Linked DNA regions of Drosophila melanogaster. The protein of the gene in region 1 interacts with the protein of each later gene in a pairwise test. Each region holds a gene or a part of one and is shown on either strand. Other genes may lie near its edges.

The links.
Region 2: the proteins of Ntmt (region 1) and Art8 interact in a two-hybrid assay, tested with the Drosophila melanogaster proteins (2 studies listed by BioGRID).

Annotation. Positions count from the first base shown.
Region 1 is NT_033778.4:9,863,496-9,867,421, forward strand, and holds Ntmt (N-terminal methyltransferase), read left to right. Parts: upstream 1-2,136; 5' UTR 2,137-2,208; coding exon 2,209-3,039; 3' UTR 3,040-3,556; downstream 3,557-3,926. Other genes in the region: CG30010 (uncharacterized protein), read left to right, coding at 322-468, 522-1,022; peo (pendolino), read right to left, coding at 1,095-1,574, 1,629-1,732, 1,795-1,859, 1,929-2,014. UniProt on the Drosophila melanogaster protein: Alpha-N-methyltransferase that methylates the N-terminus of target proteins containing the N-terminal motif [Ala/Pro/Ser]-Pro-Lys when the initiator Met is cleaved.
Region 2 is NT_033779.5:11,009,062-11,012,894, reverse strand, and holds Art8 (arginine methyltransferase 8), read left to right. Parts: upstream 1-1,808; 5' UTR 1,809-1,902; coding exon 1,903-1,941; intron 1,942-1,973; exon of another isoform or gene 1,974-1,997; coding exon 1,998-2,984; 3' UTR 2,985-3,074; downstream 3,075-3,833. Other genes in the region: dUTPase (deoxyuridine triphosphatase), read right to left, coding at 888-1,454; Nup154 (nucleoporin 154kD), read right to left, coding at 3,136-3,268, 3,330-3,452, 3,518-3,833.

The DNA.
Region 1 (3,926 bases):
CTTTTTGGTAGTTTTCACTTTGCTATTTTAAGCAAAACCTGAGCTTTTCGACCAAATGTCGAATTCAATAGACAGTCACATAGCCACCTTTTTTTAAATAAAATGTTTTCATTTCTGTATATCGCTGTATTCGCGATGCAAAAATATGTGACTGCCAAAAAATGTACTTGCAAAAATAATCGCTACCTATTGAGAAAATACAAAACTGTAAAAACGTTAAATTGATAATGGGAGGTTATCAAATGCACCTACAGATGTAGTAAACAAAAGTCAGCTGTTTTTGTTGCTCATAAGAAGACACAGTACTCAGATAGAGGAACAATGTTTATACTACGTTCTAGATCCCTTACAAACCTAAAATTCGTTAGATCTCCAAGCATATCTTGCCGTTACGTACAATATAACCAAGGTCAATCTCCGGAGCCAAAAATTCGCGAATACTTTTACTATATCGATCATGAGGGAATGGTGAGACTCTCAACTATGCATCTGTGCTTCAACTCGCATAACCCGTTTTGCAGCTCTTCCTGGACGATGCAAAGATGAAAAACTTCACCAGCTGCTTTAAGGAGAAGGATTTCCTCAAGTTCTTTTTCAACCGACTGCGGCTAAACAAAACGAGCAGATATGAAAGCGAATTTCCATACATTTCCCTCTGTGGCCGCGAAAGGAATTTTATTAGGTGCGATGACACACCTGTTGTGTTTACTGAACAGCTGAGGAAGGACGATACGGAGGTGCTCAGCTATGCACACGCGGGACAGGTCCTTACCCTGCCTTACGAACCCCACAAACTGTACATGGATCCGCGAAACGGAAGGGTCTATCATCCAGCTGCGCCACAGGTGGGCGGAATAGGCCTAGTCCGCTCCAAACTGGCCATCGAGCTCAGCCAGCACTTTGAGTTTCTCGCTGGCGAGGCTTCCCCCACACATTTCCAATGGAACGGAGAACGTTTAGAGTTGCAGAACGAGTGGGTTAACAATACTCAGCGATTTCCCATGAACGAGGATTGTAAATAATTGAATAACTTTAATCGTTTTAAAATTGAGACAACGATAGAATATAACTTACAGAATATATGTATATTGGTTTTACTCAATGCTAAGTGGCTTAAACTCGCCCTCCTTAACCCATGACAGACCAGTTGCATGTCCACCATTTGCTTGTTGCGCTGAAGGCTCCGTCAGCTTGCTTCTTCCGGCCTTGATGCGCTCCAGAACGGGCCCGTGCACGTCCTGCTGGAACTTCTCGAATACTATGTAGTGCGGATCTTCGGTGGGTGGGGTGTCAAATATATGCTCCTTGCTCTCCTTGATATTTTCCTGTACGCGAGCAACATACTCCTCCTTGTTATTCATCAGCAGCTCCGCAGCCTCGCTGTTTTTGAGCTTATCTACCTCAATGCCCCGAATACTGTCCAAGGGATCGGAGAAAATGACTTGCAGGTACTTTAAAAGCTGCCAAAGGTGATCCTCTCCACAGCGCCACTCCGGGAAGGCGTGGCTCACGTCCAAACTGTGGGTGTACGGGCACACATGGGGATGAATCACATCCTGCTGGAAAATTATGCTCTAAAGGGGACTTGTAGAGTTAAATACGTTTGCTCTATTGCCGATCCTACTCACCGGAAGACTTTTGTCGTCGGGAAAACGATCTGGGAGCAAAATTGTGAATCGAAAAACACTTTCCGCATACAAGCCCTGTCGGCCAAAGAAGACTCCAAACCACTCTATTAACAAAAGATAAAATTAGCTAAAGACTGCATACAGGTTGGCAGGTGGGTAGACTAACGCAAGGAGTTAGCATAGCTGGGTATCACATATATCCCACTCAACTTCTCCGACTCAATCATTTTGCTAAAACATAAGAAATTAAATAAGTTTAGTTTTACTCCACGTAGTTATCAGTGAACTCTGAAAACTCACTATTCGGCCAGAATTTTATACTCCTGCTGTATGGTTGTGATCAGCAACTTGTCATCTTTCTTATGCGCATCCAAATCGAGAGTCATTTTGTCCGGACAATAGAAAAATTAAACAAAAAACTAGTAACATAAACAAACGGACAATTTTGTTGCTTGTTGAACAGCTGATTGGTGAAGGGTTGCCACTCTTTCGTAAAACCTAAATGGCTCACTGTGTTTAGGAGCCCTGGTTATCGCACTAAAACAAAACAAAGCATGCGGCCTTCGAAATCCTGACAAAAATGACGACTACATTAGAAGAGCAGCTTTCAGACAAGTTGCAGATGATGGACGAGACCACGGATAAGGTCCAGGGGTCGTCGAAGCAGAAGGATGATAGCAGTATAGCCGCAAGTTCAGATGCCAAGACAGCGTCCCCTTCTTCGAGCGATAGTTCGACCAAAGTCGCCGCACCGGAGTCCGAATTTTACAATAAGGCACAAAAATATTGGTCTGAGGTACCGGCGACTGTTAACGGGATGCTCGGCGGCCTGGGCTACATTAGTGCCATAGATATACAGGGATCGAATGTGTTCCTGCGCGAGATCCGCGTGCCGGGCAACAGGTTGGCCCTCGACTGCGGAGCTGGCATTGGTCGGGTGACTCGGAATCTCCTGATCCCCCGCTTCAGCTGCGTGGATCTTGTCGAGCAGGATCCCGCGTTTGCCGATAAAGCACGGGAGTACTGCACTTCGGAAGACGGAAGCCGTGGAAAGGTGGGACAGATCTATAACGTGGGATTGCAGAAGTTTACGCCTACGCAACAGTACGACCTCGTTTGGACCCAGTGGGTCCTGGGCCATCTCACGGACCGCGATCTGGTCTCGTTCTTTCGACGCATAAAGCAGGGACTGGCGCCCGGCGCCTTCTTGTGTCTGAAGGAGAACGTGAGCAGCTCGAAGAAGACAGTGGAAGATAGGAACGACTCGTCGGTAACGAGGCCTCTGGACAGCTATGAACACTTCCTAAAGGAAGCCGGATTTCGCATTGTACGCAAGGTCAAGCAACAAAACTTTCCCAAGGGACTCTTTCCAGTGTACATGATAGCCTGCAAACCCGTCTCCAAGGAATAGGTTTAGTATTTAGTTAGTTTTACTGTTGACCTACAAGCGATTGTACTAAAGTTATCCGAAAAATTTAATGTCACATTACTAGCTAGTCACTTCAAATTGTAGCGTTCTAATCAACGAATAAACAAGCTTACAAAAGCTTGAACACGTTCCTTAATTGATGCCTTCAAAGTGCTTTATTCACGGGATATAAACAAGAAAAACACAATTATTACTAAATTATGTTTACACAAAAATAATATTTTTATCAACCACGCGACCTCGCAATAGTATAGAATGCCAACAAATTCGTTAGTAGTAGAAAAATCTGCTTCCTTAAGTCCCCATTTGCCAATTTTAAATTAATTCTCATAGTGCTATTAGCAATTCTCTTTTCTCAATTCAAATGGATTTCCTTATCTCCATAAATGTTAGTCTTGAAGATCTGGCGACAGCGGATTGATCATAAGCTCAATCTTTTGCCTGGAAACAAGATTACTTGAAAAGTTTTTTAGGTATATAATTACGTCAAAAAGAAAATTACAATTAAAATATATAATTACGTCAAAAATAAAATTCAAATAAAGGGAGAATTTGGGGCATAACAAATATTTTCAGAAGGATATTAAAAATCCTAAGGACAAAACTTAAACATGCAAAAGTTGATAAAAAGTTTGTAAATGAGTTTCTTTATTATTATTACTATTTTTGCATTTAGGAATTAAGAGCCATATTCAGTTCTTTTCCAAATTTTTACGTTGGGTTCAGAAACTATTTTTAAAAGCATACTTTTAAAGAGGCTGCAAACTAAGCATATGTCTGCATTCGTTGAGTTGATATTTCAAACTGCATTTTTATTTCATTGTTCAAGCTTATATAGCTAAAATGAAATTCACATGTTCTAATATTAT
Region 2 (3,833 bases), on another chromosome or scaffold:
GCGCTTCTTGGCTCTCATTACTCGGTCATAACTCACTGCGCCTGTCCGGTTGGTTCAAGTATCCCTAGCCACTTGAAAACCCATAAAGCCAAGTCGGCTTCCTCTTGCAGAAACATAATTGCTCGACTTCTGTTCAGCAAACTCCTTTTTTATGAAGATCTAAAGCGGTTTGTATACATACTCCGTTGGAAGTAAGTACTTCTAGTTACTAGAATATAGTTAGCACCAAGCGTTAACCTTTCGCGGCCCTTCATGCCTACTTAAATATGCAATACAAGTTACAGCTGTACATATGTATGTATATTAACCTTAAACTAGATCCATAATTCTGGATGGATGGTCAGTGCAATTTTTTGAAAAAGCCAAAATGAAGACACATCCCATTCATTGCCTAAATATGGAAATGAATTGTAAATAATTTATGTATGTTTCGATAACATTACTCCTGATACATTTTAGTAAAAGGTCCTTAGTAAAGACATTTAGTTAAAATTGGTTGGCTTGATGAAAATCGATATAAATATTTAGCTCAGAAATTGCGTGCATAAAAAAGTATTCAAAGGATATAAGTTATTTACCAGTTACCTCATAAGTGAGGAATAATTGTTTAAGCTGCCTGAAAAACCTAACACAAATTTTTTAAATAAAGAAAAATAAAAGCCTTTTAGAAATAACATGCCAAAAGTATGCAATGCATATCCAGGAAATCTAGTGATCCACCATCCACCAGTCAATCTAATGACACTATGGGAAACATTTCTTCGTAGATTTGCGGTTTTAATAGATAAAAATATACCAATACATTAACATATTTCACTTAAGGATACAGAATGAAACTCTTTGATAGTGACCATGAAGGGATTAAGAATGCGGCAATAGTTCCTCGTTTACGTAGCAACAGGAGCCGGAGCAGCTCCCTCCGGTTCGGCAGCCTTTTCTCCGTTGCCGTTCTGCGCCTTGGCTGCCGGCAGATCCTTGACTCCGGTGGAACCGAATCCTGCCTCGCCGCGCTCGGTGTCCTCCAGTTTGTCCACCATCACCAGTTGCGGATAGAAGATACGCTCGCAAATGAACTGGGCGATGCGGTCGCCATGCTTCACCTCGAAATCAACATCTGAGTGATTGAACAGGACGACGCCGAGATTGCCGCGATAATCCTCGTCCACCACACCGGCGCCCACATCAATGAAGTTCTTCACCGCCAGCCCGGATCGTGGGGCTACGCGTCCGTAGGAGCCCTCCGGAACCTGCACTTGCAGATCGGTCTTGACAATGGCCTTTCCGCGTGCCGGCACCACAACGTCGTAGGCGCTGCGCAGGTCAACTCCCGCCGCTTTGGCGGATCCCCTCACCGGCTCCAAAGCATTCTCGGTGAGTTTGGCGAATCGCAGGACGCACGTGTCGATCTTCATCTTCTTGGCAGCTGGAATGTCGGCGAAATCGGTTGATGGCATTTGGAGCAAATTGAGTTATTACAGGAATGCTTCGAAAGTACAGAGACTTTTTTCAGCTTACTTGCAGAATTCTGGTCTGAAAATAACGCGGTTTAACACAGCGTCGGAAAATTGGCGGACTTCCAGTGTTGCAAGATACCAAAAGTACAAATCGCCGAAAATCTACCAAAAAATCTTAAGTCAGCTTTGCATTTCTAAAAAACATATATACAACTATGCCTTGAGTTTAATTAAACAAATAATAAATAAAACAATAATTTAGGCATTAATAAATAAATCAAATTGATTTTATTAAGTAAAACGACCAATCACAACCAACCCTGATAAGCAACCCTATCGATATATCGATACTATTGTAGTTGATTAACACACCTCTATTTAGCACGTTGTTTTGAAAAATTCACTTGATGCGTTAATGTTAATGTGTTGATAACTGCAACTTTAAATCATGGCGAACACTTATTTCGATGAGTATGAAAACTTGGAGGTAAATAAGATTATAGATCTTCTTGTGAAACTGTACTCATAGTGACCAAACTACAGATCCACGAGCTCATGCTGAAGGATCGTCCTCGGCAAGAAGCCTACTACAATGCGATATTGGGGAATAAGGATCTGTTCAAGGACAAGATCGTAATGGATGTTGGTGCCGGCACAGGGATTCTGTCCGCCTTTTGTGCGAAAGCAGGAGCCCGTTTGGTCTACGCCGTAGAAGCATCCAATGTGGCCACCAAAGTTGCGCTGGATTTGATTGAGGATAACGGCCTGACGAACGTGGTGAAGGTGATCCAGTCGCGTGTTGAGGAATTCGTACTGCCTGCCGAGGCGGAAAAGGTGGACATCATTGTGTCCGAGTGGATGGGCTTCTACCTGCTGCACGAGGGCATGTTGGACTCGGTTCTCCTGGCCCGGGACAAGTTCCTCAAGGAGGGTGGACTCCTGTTCCCCAGCGAGTGCACAATTTTCGTGGCACCCTGCTCGGTACCATCGCTCTTCGATGATTGGCACAACGTGGACGGCATCAAAATGGACACGTTTGCCAGAAAACTCAGAACCCAAAAGTCATCCCGACCGGAGATTACACAGCTGAATCCGCAAGATCTTCTGCACGAGGGCGTCGTCTTTCACTGGATGAATCTGCTGGATGTGGAAGCCAGCGATTTGGACAGCATTCAGTTCAAGGAGGTAATAACAGCCCAGAAGGCGGGCAATCACCAGGGCTTCTGCATTTGGTTCGATGTACAGTTTCCTGGCGAAGATTTTGTTCTAAGCACATCGCCGCTATCCCCGCCAACGCATTGGAAGCAGTGTGTAGTCGTCCTGCCCGAGGAATCCTGCGAAAATCTGGAGGAGAAGTCACCCATTGCATTTCAAATCACAATGAAGCGCAGTGCTGCCGATATGCGTAAATACAATCTGGAGGTGGATTTGCTAGACCCCAACACAGAGGAGCATCCAGTGCCTTGCTCCTGTCACATGACGAAGTGCATTCTGACGGAAGCTCATCTAAAAATGATGGACACCTCATGAGTTACATGCCATCTCGGAATCCGAACAACGATCTGTGGGGAAATCAATTTATTTAACATGTTTAATACAAATACAATATATATCTCAGTCAAACTTAACGTCTAGTCCAGCACTTTCAAAAATTTAATTAAAATAACGCAGGCCGACGGCTTTAAATCAACAACCGCTGCAGCTGACTCTGAAGTTCCTTGAGTGAATGTTGAAGACGATTAGTGTCGGGCTTTTGGTAGCAAATATTCAGGCAGCCGGCCACTATGTCTTGAGCCTTGCCAACAATTCGTCGTCTGCAAGTTAAATGTGAATGTAAGTAAATCGTATCGGCTAGCATTTTACTTTTGCACTTACTTTGACCGGTACCAAATAGATTGTGCGTTGTCTGCCAGAAGCGAGACCACTCGTATGACGGATTGTATTAAATGCCACTCATTACCCTCGTTGGCCCACACTCGTTCGTTCATTGAAATCATTCTGAAAGTTTTTAAAAGTTTAGCCTTTAAACAATTTTATCTCTGCGAAAACCCTTCAATACGTACCTCGAATAGTATTCCAGGAGCAGTTCAATGTCCAAATTCATACTCACCAGTTTTTCCGGCACTATGCCCTCGGGAAATCGCAGTTGGCAGGCTTTAACTTCCAGTTCCCTTATGAGAAAGGCAAAGGGAAAGCAAACTCCAGACTCGCCATACTCCCTTACCAAGATTTCGATTTTCGTGAATAACCTATTGCAGCGCTCACTAGTTGTGCCCGGCTTATCCACAACGCTGTTGATAATCTGGCCCCAAACGGACTCGATCAGTAGGGGGTCGTTGTGATGCGAGCAGTTGAGTATGGACAATTGGCACTCCCAAA